Linked DNA regions of Canis lupus familiaris. The protein of the gene in region 1 interacts with the protein of each later gene in a biochemical or structural test. Links are inferred from orthologs where the notes say so. Each region holds a gene or a part of one and is shown on either strand. Other genes may lie near its edges. The genes, in order: PIAS3 and MITF.

Region 1 (7,410 bases):
TCAGTGGTTGAGTATCTGCCTTTGGCTAAGGTGGTGATCCTGGGGTCCTGGGATCGAGTTCCGCATTGGGCTTCCTGAGAGGAGCCTGCTTCTCCCTCTGCCTATGTCTCTGCCTCTCTCTCTGTGTGTCTCTCATGAATAAATAAATAAAATCTTAAAAAAAAAAAGAGCCCTCCTTTACAAAACCATTAGGATTCAAGCTGAGGTTGACATTCTTTTTTTACTTTTACATTTTTACAGCTTTAATGAGTTAGAATAATTGACATTCAATAAATGCATGTATTTAAAAGTGTACAGTTTGGTAAGTTCTGACATATGTATATACCCATAAAACCATCACACAACAAACATATCTGGGGCCCCTGGGTGGCTCAGTCAGCTAAGCATCCTCCTTCAGCTCAAGCCAAGATCCTGGGGTCCTGAGATTGAGCCCCACATGGACTCCCTGCTTAGCCGGGAGCCTGCTTCTCCCTCTCTCTCTCTGCCTCTGCTCCCTTCTCGTGCTCTCTCTCTCTCAAATAAGTAAATGAAATCTTTTTTTAATAAAAAGATAATGAACTTATCTATCACTCCCAAAGAATCCCCCCTTCTCTTTTTTTATCCTCTCAATCGTCCTTCTCTCCAAATCACTGAAATTTCTATGAGATATACAAACTAATTCATAGTAACTTTTGACCTAGAGGACTGAACACAACAACAACAACAACAACAACAACAACAACAAAAAACAAGCTCTGGGCCTGATGAAAACTCAAGTGTTGGAAGGGGCAGTTGGTATTTTTTTTTTTTTTTTTTTAGATTTTGTTTATTTGACAGAGAGAACAAGTAGGGGGAGCAGCAGAAGCACACGCCCTGCTGAGCAGTGAGCCTACTGCAGGGCTTGATCCCAGGACCCTGACCTGAACCAAAGGCAGAGACTTAACCAACTATGCCACCTAGACACTCTGGCAGCTAAGACTTAGAATCAAATACTTGAGCTTGAGTTTAGCTTGGTCTTACCTGGGAGTAGGGAGTATAGCAACAGGGAAAGAACCTGAGTGTCAGGAGAGGGTACACATCTTCCCTATGGACAAAATCCACAAAGTAGTTGGTCATGGTCCAATTCAACAGGTATCTGAGGAGGTTGCTAGGCTGGTACCTTCATTCTTGTGGCTTGGGTAGGGTCTCATGGGAAGGATTATACTGAAGGTTTAAGCTATATGAGAGGGTTATTCATGTTATTTATTATTATTTTAATGCCAATTATAGGTTTAACTGTCTTGCTGCCACTGCTAGACCAAGAGCTCCTGAAAAGCTTTTTATCTCCTCAGCACCTAACAATCTCTGAACAGCATTCAAATGTTTGTTGAACAAATGACATAATGGCTTAGGTCCCAGCCAACTAACCTAAAATGCTGAGTTTTTCCAGTATGTAGTTTGGGTAAACTGCCCTAATTTTGGTGCTTGAATTGGTACCTGCATGTGAGTGATCAGCCTGGTTGAGAATGGCCTCTCTGGGGATGCCTGGGTGGCTCAGTGGTTGAACATCTGTCTTCAGTTCAGGTCATGATCCTGCGACCCCGGGAATCGAGTCTAGTCTCGCATAAGGCTCCCGGCAGGAAGCCTGCTTTTCCCTCTGTGTCTGTCTTTCATGAATAAGTAAATATATATATTTTATTATTATCTTTTATTTATGATATAGAGAGAGAGAGAGAGAGAGAGAGAGAGAGAGAGGCAGAGAGAGAAGCAGGCTCCATGCACCGGGATCCCGACGTGGGATTCGATCCTGGGTCTCCAGGATTGCGCCCCGGGCCAAAGGCAGGCGCCAAGCCGCTGCGCCACCCAGGGATCCCTATTTTAAAGAGAATGGGGTCTCTGGAAGGGCAAAGGCTTTGGAAGAAAAGTAGGCAATTCATAGACGGGCAGAAAGACGACTGTTTTGGGAAGAAAACCTCCCCTCTGTTCACCTTCAGCCCCACCAAAGGCGTGGGGTCTCCGGCGACGGTCTGAGTATTTGGGGTAGGGGGTGAGGGACCACAGGGAGACTTGGGGCTTAGGTCCACTTTAGATTCTAGCAGCCCAGGCTTTCCCCCAGGGAGAGGAGTCTCGTTCCAAGTAGGAACCTCTTCAGGCGGCCAAATCCCAGTCGGCCCGGCCTTCCTCGCAGCATGATCGCGCCGGGCGGGCAGAGCAGCGCAAGGGGCCGGAGCAACAGTGAGCAGGTTGAGTCCCCAGAACGTCCTCCCTTCCCACCCGTTGGCTCACGCACCCTTTCAAGGAGTTAAGCTCCGGGCGCGGGTCTCGGAGCCCCTCCCCTCCCCGCTTCCGACCCCGCCCCCGCCCCCGCCCCCGCCTCCGCGGTCCTGGCGGGCTCACCCGGAGGGGGCGGCCCCAGCCCCAGCGCCGGGCCGGGCGGAGCTCGCGTCCGGGCGGAGCTGCCGCTGCAGCGTCCAGCTGCCGGACCGACCGACCTCCAGCCTTGCAGCCCCCCCACCTCCCCGGCCCACCCTCCGAGCCTCCCGAGCCCCCTCCCCGCTCCCCGCAGCTGTGCTGGTAAGTCCCGCTCGTCGCACCAAACTTTTTTGCTGCGGAGTTTGAGTCCTGCCGCGGGACCCCAGGCAGCACTGTAGTTGGTTGGCCGGGAGGGGGGTGGGGGTGGGGGTGGGGGTGGGGGTGGGGGGCGAGGAATCGAGAGCAGCCGTCCTGACCGTCACCACTGCACAGCTTCTCCGAAGCGGGTCAGATCTCACCCGTTCCCCGAGTTGGTAGAACTCTTGACTTGAGCTGGTTAAACTCGTCGAGGAGGAGATGACGGTGTCTGCTCCAACTTCGCCACCCCTCCCCCATTTCTCTAAGATTGAGCAGTTCTCGCTACTTTCCCCCCGTATTTCAAGTGTCTCTGGCTCTCTAAAAGCTCACCCCCTCCCAGTCCCGGCGTGGCAGAGCCCTCCCTCGGGCGCTGCGGGCCCGCCTCCCCTTCCTCACCCCCGGGGACCCTCCGCTCTGGCACCCCAGCCGGAGCCGCGCAGGGGCTGGGTCGGGCGGAGGGAGGGGCCGAGGCCGGGGCCTGTCCGGAGCCGGGCGGGCGGGGCCGGGAGGGGAGGCGCAGGGGCCGGGCGGGGCGGAGCAGGCGGCCTTTGCGGCGGGCGCCGGGGTGGGGAGTTGCGCGCCGGTCCCTGGGCCTGGGCTCGGGCTCGGGCTCGGGCGCCGGCGATGTCTCAAGATGGCGGAGCTGGGCGAGTTAAAGGTACCGGCCCCCTCCCCCAGCCCCGTGTGGACTGCGCCCGCGGAACGCCGAGTCTGGGAGGCGACCGAGCCCGGGTGCCGAGGGCTCGGCGGGGGCGGGGGGCGCGGAGACGTGGCGGAGACCGGCTGCCCGAGCGGGAGCCGAGCGGCGGCGGGAGCGGACCGGGCTGCCACGGGCTCGGGGGCGGGGCCGCGGGGCAGATGCAGGGGTGGGGCCGAGGGGAATTGCCGCTGTCGGGGGCCGAGGCGCAGGGGGCGGGGACGCGGGGGTACGGGTCGGACTCGGTGGTCGGGGCGGGTGCCCGAGGAAGGCCGAGGTCCCAGCTGCCGCGGGGGCGCGGGGGGCGAGTCACCGAGGCCGCGAGACGCGACAGTAGGGGGCAGATGCGGGGCTGGGACGCGGGCAGAGGTGCGGAGGCGCCCGCGCGGTGCCGCCGAGGGGATGGCAGCTCTGGGGCTGCCGCGGGCTTCCGAGCCTCGGGAGCACCGCGGGCGGCGGAGATCCCGGGGGCGGGGCCGCGCGGGCTGCGGGTTCGAGGGCGGCGAGGAAGCCGCTGCCCTGGTGGATCGGTCTTTGGGCTTAGGTACAGGAGTGTGAGGCTGTGGGATGGAAAGGGGACGTTCTTGACAAAGCTAACGGAGAACTGAAAACCGGACAGAGGAAATGAGGGTGGGAGAAAGGTAGATGGGCCAGTTTTTCACCGCATTCCTCAAAAGGGGCCCGAAGCCAGGGAGGCTCCTGGGAGGGGGCGACTCGTGGACGGCTGGCAGAGCCCGCCCGTGACAGGGCTCCCGGGGAGTCACGGAGGGTGTCCTTTTGCGAGAGAGCGAGCGTGTGGTGCCCGCCTACTGCCACACAGGCTTGAGGGTACCCCTATCGGAGGACATCTCACAGAACCTTAAAAAAACCACTGGGTTCATCCCCCTGCCTCCTGGCTTTGTTCTGCCTTTTGAAATGGAGCCGTAGTCTTTGGCGGGCTAGTCCCTGGGTCCAGCTGCCCCAGGAGAACTTGCAGGTCTGCCCCCAGGCTGGGAAGGCGCCCCAGCCTTCTCATCTCCCCAGGGCCCCTGCTTACAGCTTAGCCCTCTCCTCTCCCACGGCTATGGGGGGGGGGGGGATTACTTATTTTCTCTATGTAGGAGAGAAACAGGATATTAGTTCCTGGCAGATGGAGTAAACAGGTAAACAAGAAAGTAACCCTGGACTGGGTGATTTACTATGAACCCCTTTGCCCCAAGTTTTGGTCGCTTATCTCCTAGAAGAATAGGACTGAGGGAAAGGTGTTGATGCTTACAAAGGATTTGGGGGGAAGTTACAAGCATTGAACCCTGACCTGAAAACCCTGGCCACAGACGCTTCAGAGGCTTGGGGAAAATAGCTGAGGTGGCTTGAAGTGTTGGGAGGGGTGTGCCATGGTGCACAATCCTCTGGCCACCTGCCCCCTTTCTTCCCTGTGGGGCTGTCTGGCCTGATTCCTCTTCTCCCCCTCCTTCTCCCTGTCTCCTACCCTCTTTCCAGGAGGCTGGGTTGGGTCTGAGAGTCTGAGAAAGGGCAGGAGAGGAGATAAGCTGCTTAAAGGAGCGTCTAGGCTCAAGGCAGGGTTGGAAGTAGGAGGCCACAGTGGACTCGGAGGTGTGCCTGTGGATGGCTTGCTGCCTGCACCCTGCCCCACCTGGCCAGCTTACAGGCACGGGGAGATAGGGTTACTCAGGCTCTGGGGGGGGGGCAGTGGTAAGGTTGACCTGAGGGCTGCTGAATGGGACTGAGATGTCCCTTTGGCCAGATTGGCTGTCCGGCTGTAATCACTGGCTGCAAAGCATATTTCTCTTGGGGAGGGGGGCGGGGGAGGCACTGCCTCTTTGGCAGTATTCTCAAATGTCTCTGTTCTCTGCAGCACATGGTGATGAGCTTCCGGGTGTCTGAGCTTCAGGTTCTGCTGGGCTTTGCTGGCCGGAACAAGAGTGGACGAAAGCACGAACTCCTGGCCAAGGCCCTGCACCTGCTCAAGTCCAGCTGTGCCCCCAGCGTCCAGATGAAGATCAAGGAGCTTTATCGCCGACGCTTTCCCCGGAAGACCCTGGGCCCCTCTGATCTCTCCCTCCTCTCTCTGCCCCCTGGCCCCCCTCCTGTCGGCTCCCCTGGCCCTCTTACTCCCATTCCCCCTGCCCTCTTGGCCCCTGGCACGCTGCTGGGCCCCAAGCGTGAGGTGGACATGCACCCTCCTCTGCCCCAGCCTGTGCACCCTGATGTTACCATGAAACCATTGCCCTTCTATGAAGTCTATGGGGAGCTCATCCGGCCCACCACCCTCGGTATGGCTCTGCCTCCTCCATCTTCCTGAATCTTACCTCTTGCCCAAGCCTTGGGCTTTAGTCCTGTGGGATCAGTGGCCTGGGATGGGGGTAGCGTCTGTGGCTGCCTGTCATGGGCTCAGGAGTAACTGCTCCTTTGTATCCTCAGCGTCCACTTCTAGCCAGCGGTTTGAAGAGGCACACTTTACGTTTGCCCTCACACCCCAGCAAGTGCAGCAGATTCTCACATCCAGGTACCTCTCTTCCCACCCTCCTACCTCTGACCTGGGGTGGTTATCCCGGGACTCTGCTCTCTGCCTTTCTTCTCGTCTGTCCTCGTCTCCTGCCTGTCCATCCTTCTGCACCTGTGTCATCTCTCATTCTCTTGTGCATCTCTTCTCTATCTCTGGGACACGTAACTGTTTCTCTGTCTATTCAGCCTGGCCCTCTGGGGGCCACATCCTGACATGTTTCCCTCTCCTCCCTGTCATAGAGAGGTTCTTCCAGGAGCTAAATGTGACTATACTATCCAGGTGCAGCTCAGGTGAGTTGATCCTCCCGCCTCCTTCCCTGCTGGGCTTCCACTGGGGGTGGGAATGAAATAAGGGTATGTCGGACACTGCTAGGAGATAGCCCTGCTGTGCTACGTCCACCCTGACCCTGGGACTCTTGTGGGTGCTGAGGGCTACAGATACAGAGATCTGTGACTGGCTGACTGAGGTTCCCTGCCTTTCTGTCAGCTTCAACTCAAGAGACTACCTCCCCCACCCTTTCATCTTTTCTTCTCTTACCAGATTCTGTCTCTGTGAGACCAGCTGCCCCCAGGAGGATTATTTTCCCCCCAACCTCTTTGTCAAGGTCAATGGGAAACTGTGCCCCCTGCCGGTAAATGCTCTTCCCTTCTTCTGGCAGTAACCCCTTCCCTCTTTCAGTTCTTAAATGTTAAATACAAACGTATTAATGAAGAGATGTGTGTAGCACAGTGCCTGGTACATAGTAGGTACTCAGCGTATTGAGTGATGGATACAATCTAGAGGATACTAAGATAGGGTTGATGCACAAGGGTTCTGTCAGAACCCAGAGGAAGCACATCAGTTCAACCCAAAGGTTCAGGGAAGATTTCTCTGAAGTGATGACCTCAGAGCTGAAAGTTAGAAGTAGTGGGGCAACCCTATTCTTCCTCCTCAGGAGCTCAGTGAGTGGGTTTCTATTTCCCTGGTCAATAAATAAGCTCTCCTTTCTCCCCAGGAATGAACCCCACACACAACCCTAGATAGTGCTTCAGTTTTGTGAGTCACTGAATGGGTCCCCATGTCCCTGGTCAGTGAGTGAGCTGGTCTTCCTTCCAGGAAGTGAGTAACCTGAGACAAGATGTCTTGACCAGCCCCTCCCTTCCCTAGGGTTACCTTCCTCCTACCAAGAATGGGGCTGAGCCCAAAAGGCCTAGCCGCCCCATCAACATCACACCTCTGGCTCGACTCTCAGCCACTGTTCCCAACACCATCGTGGTCAACTGGTCATCTGAGTTTGGACGGGTGAGCAGGGCTGGGGCAGGGAGCCTGGAGAAGCCTGCAGGGGGTGAGGGGCATCGTCCAGTGTCCTGGGTTGGGAAAACATCTTCCTCTTTATGGGTCTTTCTGCCTTAACCCGTTGTCTCTGATCCTCATGGGACAAAGGATTGGGGTGGTGGTGGTGGTGGTGGTGGTGGTGGTGGTGGCTGCGAGGAGCAGAGCAGAGGCTAACTGTCTCCCCCTACCTCCAAGTAGAACTATTCCTTGTCTGTGTACCTGGTGAGGCAGTTGACTGCAGGGACCCTTCTACAAAAACTGAGAGCAAAGGGTATCCGGAACCCAGACCACTCTCGGGCACTGAGTAAGTAACATCCTGCCCCTC
Region 2 (6,914 bases), on another chromosome or scaffold:
GTTGGGAGGCTTTCCTGCCCATTATAAGGATGTTTAGCAGCCTCCGTGGCCTCTACCCACTAGATGTCAGTGATACTCCCCCCCCCCTCCCAGTTGTGACACCCAAAAATGGCTCTACAATTTTGACAAATGCCCTCCACTAACAATGGAGAAGCCCTGATTTGAACACTGGGTGGTTACTCCAGCTCAATAGTTCCCTTGATTCCTGTGTTTAGGTTTGCATTGCAGTCTGGTAAAATTGGTACAGTGGTTGACAGGATACCTTATAATTAACATGTAGTTGCTCAACATGGAAGTTAGCTTGAGGTTTAAAACAGCCTGGGAATACAGTACTTTGTAGAAAATTATATTACTGAACATGGCACTATTGATCACTTAAATACAGTGTTTCACCTACTGGACCTCTAATTCTCACAAAACTCTGTGAGATGGGTGATAGGATTGCCACTTTTCAAAGGGGGCACCATGCCTCAGAAAGGTTAGTATCACACAGCAGGTCAGTTATACACAGGCAGGTTTTAACCGAGTTCTCTGGCTCCTAAGGCAGCCTGCACTATAATTTCTAAGTTTGAGTAGCCATACTTGGCTAGTGAGCAACTAGGTTTTTATTTGCTTATATCCAGTTGGAGATTAATTGAAAATTGCAGTTTCTACTTGGTTTATCAGCAGATTGACACCGCCTCCCAAATACTGCTATTAACATGGTATATGAACCTCCTGCCACGAAGCTCTATTCAGACATAGCTAGAACTACGGCTTTTCTTTCATAAAATCAATTAAAGCAACATATACAAAGTGCCTTTCTAGTTCTGTGCCGGACCCAGAGTAGGTGCCCACAAAATAATGTTCCCCAGCAAAATATCCTGGCAGGTTGTATGCTGCCAGCTGCTAATCAGCAAGTATTGGAAAAGCAGCCGAAGCGGGAAATCTTTTAGAGAAGTAGGTGGAGGGTTATAAGCCACTTTTTGGACTGGAAGTAATGATGTCTGATCTTAGTGGAGTGTCTGATAAGGCATCCTGTTATAGAGATTTTAATTCATCTCCCTCCAGGGATTCCTGGGTGGCTCAGCAGTTTAGCATCTGCCTTCGGCTCAGGGCGTGATCCTGGAGTCCCGGGATCGAGTCCCATATCAGGCTCCCTGCATGGAGCCTGCTTTCCCCTTTGCCTGTGTCTCTGCCTCTGTGTGTGTGTGTGTCTCTCATGAATAAATAAGTGAAATATTTAAAAAAATTCATCTCCCTTCTTGGCGGGCACTGCTGTCAATCCATGCCACTCACAGCAATCTTGTCTGCCTAGCCCATTTGTCTCTGGGTGACCCCAGTCTTGTACTTTTTCTCCCCAACCGCATCCTGAATGTCTCTCCATCTGTCTTTCCACCTCTCTCCTCTGTGTACATGTGTCTCTCTTTTTTGTTTCTGCCCATTCCTTTGTGTCTTTGTCTCTTATTCTCAGTTTTTGTTTCTTTTGCCCTCTCTGTATTTCTCCCTCCCTCCCTTCATCCTTCATATGAGTCTACATTTGTTAAGTATATGTGCACCTCGTTCCCCTTTAGAATATGTTTAGAAAACAGGTTCTTGCCCTGGAGAAGCTTATAATTAGATATCTGTCTGTTCAGTGTAAATCCATAGATGACTTAAAGGGTTTTGTTTTTTTTTTTTAAGCTTACTGTGTATCTCTTGTCTATTAATTTTCCCTAACAAATCATCATCACAACACAGTTGCATTGTTTTGCTTGCAGCTTGCATTTGAAAATATTATAGATATGATTTGTATTTCTAGGGGTATAGAAGTATATTTTTTAGCTTGTTGCATTGAATTTTGAAGCCACATTCAATACTGAGCAGTTCCTCTGAAAATCTGGAGCTCCAGAAAGATAGAATAAATCTTTGGAATGCAGAGGGGTTATGAGATGTCATAGCAGCTTTATAAGTTTTGATGCTCTGACTCAATACACTCTTTACAACGCTGTATTGAGACATTTGCACATCTTTCACTGTGCTGTCTTAAGTTGGACAAGAGTAGAACTGATTGCACACAGAGCAAGATTGACCCTAGGAAGGTGACCTACTTCAAATAAAACCACTTAGTAAAATGACAGCTAATCATCAAAGTCACTTTTTATCAGGTTTTTAGCTAGAGGACCTTGAATTGTGGTTCAAGAGCATTTTAAATTGTCACAATGCATTGTTTATATGTGAATCTGTGTGGTGGGAAATGTGTATTACATTTTATATACATAATATAAATCCTGCCTTCAAAAAGAAGCAAAAGACTGAATGGATAAGAGAGAGACATGCTCTGTCGATCTGCCTGTCCTTCCTGCTCTCAGCCTCAGTCATATTAGAGCAAGTGTCTTGTTTATCTGTCAGAAAGAAAGTACAGGCCTCTCCCACCTCTTTAGCTTGGGGTTTAGTTCATAGAGTACTTACTTAGAAACCACACTAGGAATAGGTGGTCAGGGGATCCCTGGGTGGCTCAGCGGTTTGGCGCCTGCCTTTGGCCCAAGGCGCAATCCTGGAGCCACGGGATCGAGGCCCACTTCGGGCTTCTGGCATGGAGCCTGCTTATCCCTCTGCCTGTGTCTCTGCCTCTCTGTCTCTGTCTCTGTCTCTGTCTCTCTCTCTATCATAAATAAATAAATAAATAAATAAATAAATAAATAAATAAATAAATAAATAAATGTTTTAAAAAGAATAGGTGGTCAAAGGCTATCAATGAAGGGAAACGCATTCATTATCTTTATCCTGCGGGATATTTTTATTTGTATGGTAGTGGCCATTGGAGAAAATGAAAGGTGACATGTAGTATAATCTCTGCTCAATACCTCTTGGTCACTAAACAACTTGAAAATGCTGTCTAGATTGAGTTTTCTCAGATGTAAAGTAAAACTCAGAGTGTATAATCAAGGATGGGATGGGCTGAATGCTCTAAGTCTTACTTGGTAATAACACTTAGAGCAGTTGTTTGAATTAAGCTGGGAACAGGGAGCTTCTGCACTGGCAGCAGTGCGGTCACTTAACTGTGCCCTCATAATTAATATTCAGAGGGTGGGCAGAAGAAATGTCTGGGACTTCTCATGCTCACAAAAATGGGTGCATTAAACTCCATCAGTGAACTAGGTACAGGGAAATGCATATACAACAAAAGGAAGTCAGCATTGGAGACAGAAAGAAGTTCACTACTTCAAAATATTCAATTCAGACCTGGAGAAAAACACTCTTAAGCTAGCTCAAGAGGGCTAAATATTTCTTTACCCTTCTTTTTTTTTTTAAGTGTAAATTTTTGTTGTTTTATTAAAGTCAGTGGGCTCCCTCTTGTGGTTCTATGAGAGATTTCAGTTTCAAGGAAAAGCGCTTTTCTTTAGCAATAAGGAAACCATTTCTTTTCTAGTAGAAAACACTTTTCATTCCTTTTCCCTATAAAAAGAGATAAAAAGGGAGAAGGAAAGAGAGAGAAGGAAAAAAGTGACTTTGACGAGAAACCTAATTTGGTGGAAAAAGCCATGCCACATAGAACCCTATTAGACTGTAATAGTCAGCATTTACTAAACATCTGCTATATGCTGCTGGATGTGCTCCATAATGAGTTTGCCATATTATTTGTTGTCTACATGCTCAAAATATAACTATTAGCTGCTTGTAGAACCATCTTATGGGTCTTGGATTCTGCATCCTTTCTTCTCTCAAAGGGAACAAGTCAAGGTCACCATTTATCTAAGTGAGTGGAAAGGTAAACATGTCTTGCTTTTCTGTTTTAAAATATGATTTTTAACATCAAACCATTTCTTTTAGATAAAGTCTGGAATAGATCTGGGTGCTAGCTGAATAACCTAGGAATTGCTCAGTAGTTCATTTCTGTTATTGCTTCTCTCTCTAGTTACCTGTCTCTGGAAATCTGATTGATCTTTATGGCAACCAAGGCCTGCCTCCCCCAGGCCTCACCATCAGCAACTCCTGTCCAGCCAACCTTCCCAACATAAAAAGGGAGCTCACAGGTAAATACTGGCAAGTGTGCCTCTTCCTGGGGATTTTCTGTTTATTTTCTGACAAGTGAGGTTATCAAAGTTGTGACCTCTAGACTATTCCCAATTTGTAGACATACTTTTTTTTAGGTCGGTGCTGTGGTGAAAGTATCGAGCAATATTTTAAGATGAAGGATTTATACTTGGAAATCCTGGTTGCCAGTTTTTCTTGAGATACTGGGAGTTGGATCTGCTGTCACTCCAAAGCACCATTATTATTCCATGACACCCATCGTGGCGTCTTTGGCTGCTGTCCCCTTTGAGGTGGAGCAGCAGGCAACACTTTTACCTAAAAAATGTCTCTACACAGTCTGGTGTTTGTGTTGCTTGCCAAGCCCCTAGAGGCATTCCAGTTTGAGAACCCTGGTCTGGAATTTTCTTTGACCTGCATTTAAGCCCGCAGTTGTCAAGATAGAGTAGGAATGAGTCTCTTCCATCTTCGGAGGCCTCCTGTTATTTTTGCTACATCATGTGCAAAAGCTTTATTACACAGAGTAAAAAAAAAATAAGATTATAAAATGGAGTGATGGATATTGTTTGTTCCTGAGGCACTGAGAAATTACCTATTTTGCCATTTTGTTTAATGCTTTAGGGAAGGCATTTGGCCATTAAAACATGACAAAACTACATTAGAACTGACATTCTACCATACTGAGTTTATGGCCCTCACCTCATCCCCCTTTTTAATGTCTGGTCCTTGCATCTTGTAGGATTAGGTGAATGAACAGTCTAAGAATATGAGATATATATTTGGGGCAAAAAATTCCTGTTTGTTCAAGTGTGTCTTTTAAAAAAAATACTTCAGAAGATAATGGCAAGAGAAAGACCATTTAAAAAAAAACATTGATTTAGGTTAAGAGGTAATAAATTAATTGATATGTAAAACCCATTGAAAGTCAACAAAAGTAGGTACTTTACCTGGAAAGAAAAATATCACGAAGTCTTACAAAATAATGCTATATGAGGTCTGTACTCAATAATGATAAAATATGGTTAGTGTGATATGAACAAAATTCTTATGACTTAAATGCAAAGCAGACCTTTTTTTTTTTTAGAATTAAAAAGAAGTTATTTATTTTAGAGAGAGTGCGAGTGGAGAGGGAGCAGAGAGGGAGGGAAAGGGAGAGGGAGAGAATCTCAAGCAGAGTCTGAGCTGAGCAGGGAGCCTGATGCAGGGCTAGATCTCATAACCCCAAGATCATGACCTGAGCCAAAACCAGGAGTCGGATACTTAACTAATGGAGCCACCCAGGCACCCCCCAAAGTAGACTTTTGAGTTATGTGTATGATTATTTCTTAAAAAACAACAGAGGCAGGGGGTGAGAATGAGAGAAATGAGTAAGAGGGTATAAATTTATTATTTTTTTAAAAAAAGAAGCAGATATAATGAGCTATACACTTCTAGAATCACTTTGTATCTTAGAAAATGACCACTTGAGACAGGAAAAGGGTAAAATGCCAAGAAAAGGAGAAAATGGACAGGAATTGGGGTTCTGAACACTGCTAGCTGAGAGACAGCATGATGTAGCCAAAGAGAATAAGTTTAGGACTCAGATCTGACCTAAGGGATAAGAAATGATCTTTATTAAGTGATTTTCCCTCTAGTCAGGAAGCAGAGGGCACCATGATTTGAACAGGGGAGGTTAAAGATAAAGAATTGTTAACCATGAGCAGGCACATAGCTACTCAGAGAGGATGAATACTGAAGAATACCCTGAGGCTGCAGAGGGTTTATCTAAGCTTGAGGAAGAGCCCTCCTCCCCAAGGCCAAGAGTCTACTGCCTTGGGGAGGATATGGGTAAAACTACAAAATGGCAGTGAAGTTCACTGGATAGCCTTGACCAAAGCTGGCCTACACTTGGTGGGTTGAGGTTGATGGGTAAAAAATCATAGTTGTGGGCTAGCAAATTGAAAAAACAAAACAAAACGAAACAAAATTAAGATACTAGAGGGGAGGGTGCCCATAATGCTCAAGTGAAAAAAAAAAAAAAAAAAGAAAATGGATTGATCAAAAGGAAAAAAAAAAAAAAAGAAAATGGATTGATCTTCCCAACTGAAATAATTCAGCTTCTGAATTATTTATGTGTATATATGTATATATAATACACATATAATAAATGTACATCTGTATATAAGCTTCAGTGGCTATGAGTTATAAAGATTTTGAATTTTGGGTAAAATTCTGATTTGTCATAGTATAATGTTTCAGATATCAATTGTATAAAGAAAGTAACAGGAGGTCCCAGAATGCCAGGATTAATCAAACAACTGCCTCTTGTTTTGTTTTGTCGTCTGTAAGTTACAAAGTCACCCCTCCTCACAAGAGATCTCACAAGAGTTCCATGCAAATACATCTTTTCAAATGAAGTTGTCACTAAACGCCTTTGTACACTATTCCTATTTTTGTTTTTCAAAACTTAGACTAGTAAATAGTTGATCCTCACAGGCATTATTTAATTCTAGCAAGTTCTGTTGGAACCTCATTCCAAGTTCCAAAAAAAAAAAAAAAAAAATCCATTTCCACCAGTTAGAAGATCCAACGTGGTAGCTTTTCTCACTGGTTTTCATGTTCATGTGTTACAAAGGCATTGAAGAAATACTGAAAAGTTCTGTTGCAGGAAAGGAAAAATTGACTCCCATGGCGTCCTGGTGGCTCATTTAAGCGTCCAACTCCTGGTTTCAGCTCAGGTCATGATTGCAGGGTTGTGGAATCAAGCCCTGCATTAGGCCCTGCACCCATTGTGGAGTCTGCTTGAGATGCTTTCTCTCCCACTGACCCTCCCACTCATACTCTTTCTCTAAAACAAACTTTTAAAAAGGAAAAAAAGAAAAATCAACTCCTGATCATAGAATAGCAACAGCAAATTTCCATAGTTTTCTGGTTTTCTTCTT

Evidence for each region.
Region 2: the proteins of PIAS3 (region 1) and MITF form a complex in vitro, tested with the Homo sapiens proteins (2 studies listed by BioGRID). The link is inferred for Canis lupus familiaris from reciprocal best matches to the Homo sapiens genes PIAS3 and MITF.

Annotation. Positions count from the first base shown.
Region 1 is NC_049238.1:59,313,639-59,321,048, reverse strand, and holds the start of PIAS3 (E3 SUMO-protein ligase PIAS3), read left to right. Parts: upstream 1-3,124; 5' UTR 3,125-3,202; coding exon 3,203-3,226; intron 3,227-3,771; exon of another isoform or gene 3,772-4,407; intron 4,408-5,120; coding exon 5,121-5,538; intron 5,539-5,686; coding exon 5,687-5,771; intron 5,772-6,010; coding exon 6,011-6,061; intron 6,062-6,311; coding exon 6,312-6,402; intron 6,403-6,917; coding exon 6,918-7,052; intron 7,053-7,283; coding exon 7,284-7,389; intron 7,390-7,410. UniProt on the Homo sapiens protein: Functions as an E3-type small ubiquitin-like modifier (SUMO) ligase, stabilizing the interaction between UBE2I and the substrate, and as a SUMO-tethering factor.
Region 2 is NC_049241.1:22,006,881-22,013,794, reverse strand, and holds part of MITF (microphthalmia-associated transcription factor), read left to right. Parts: intron 1-3,877; coding exon 3,878-3,995; intron 3,996-6,914. UniProt on the Homo sapiens protein: Transcription factor that acts as a master regulator of melanocyte survival and differentiation as well as melanosome biogenesis.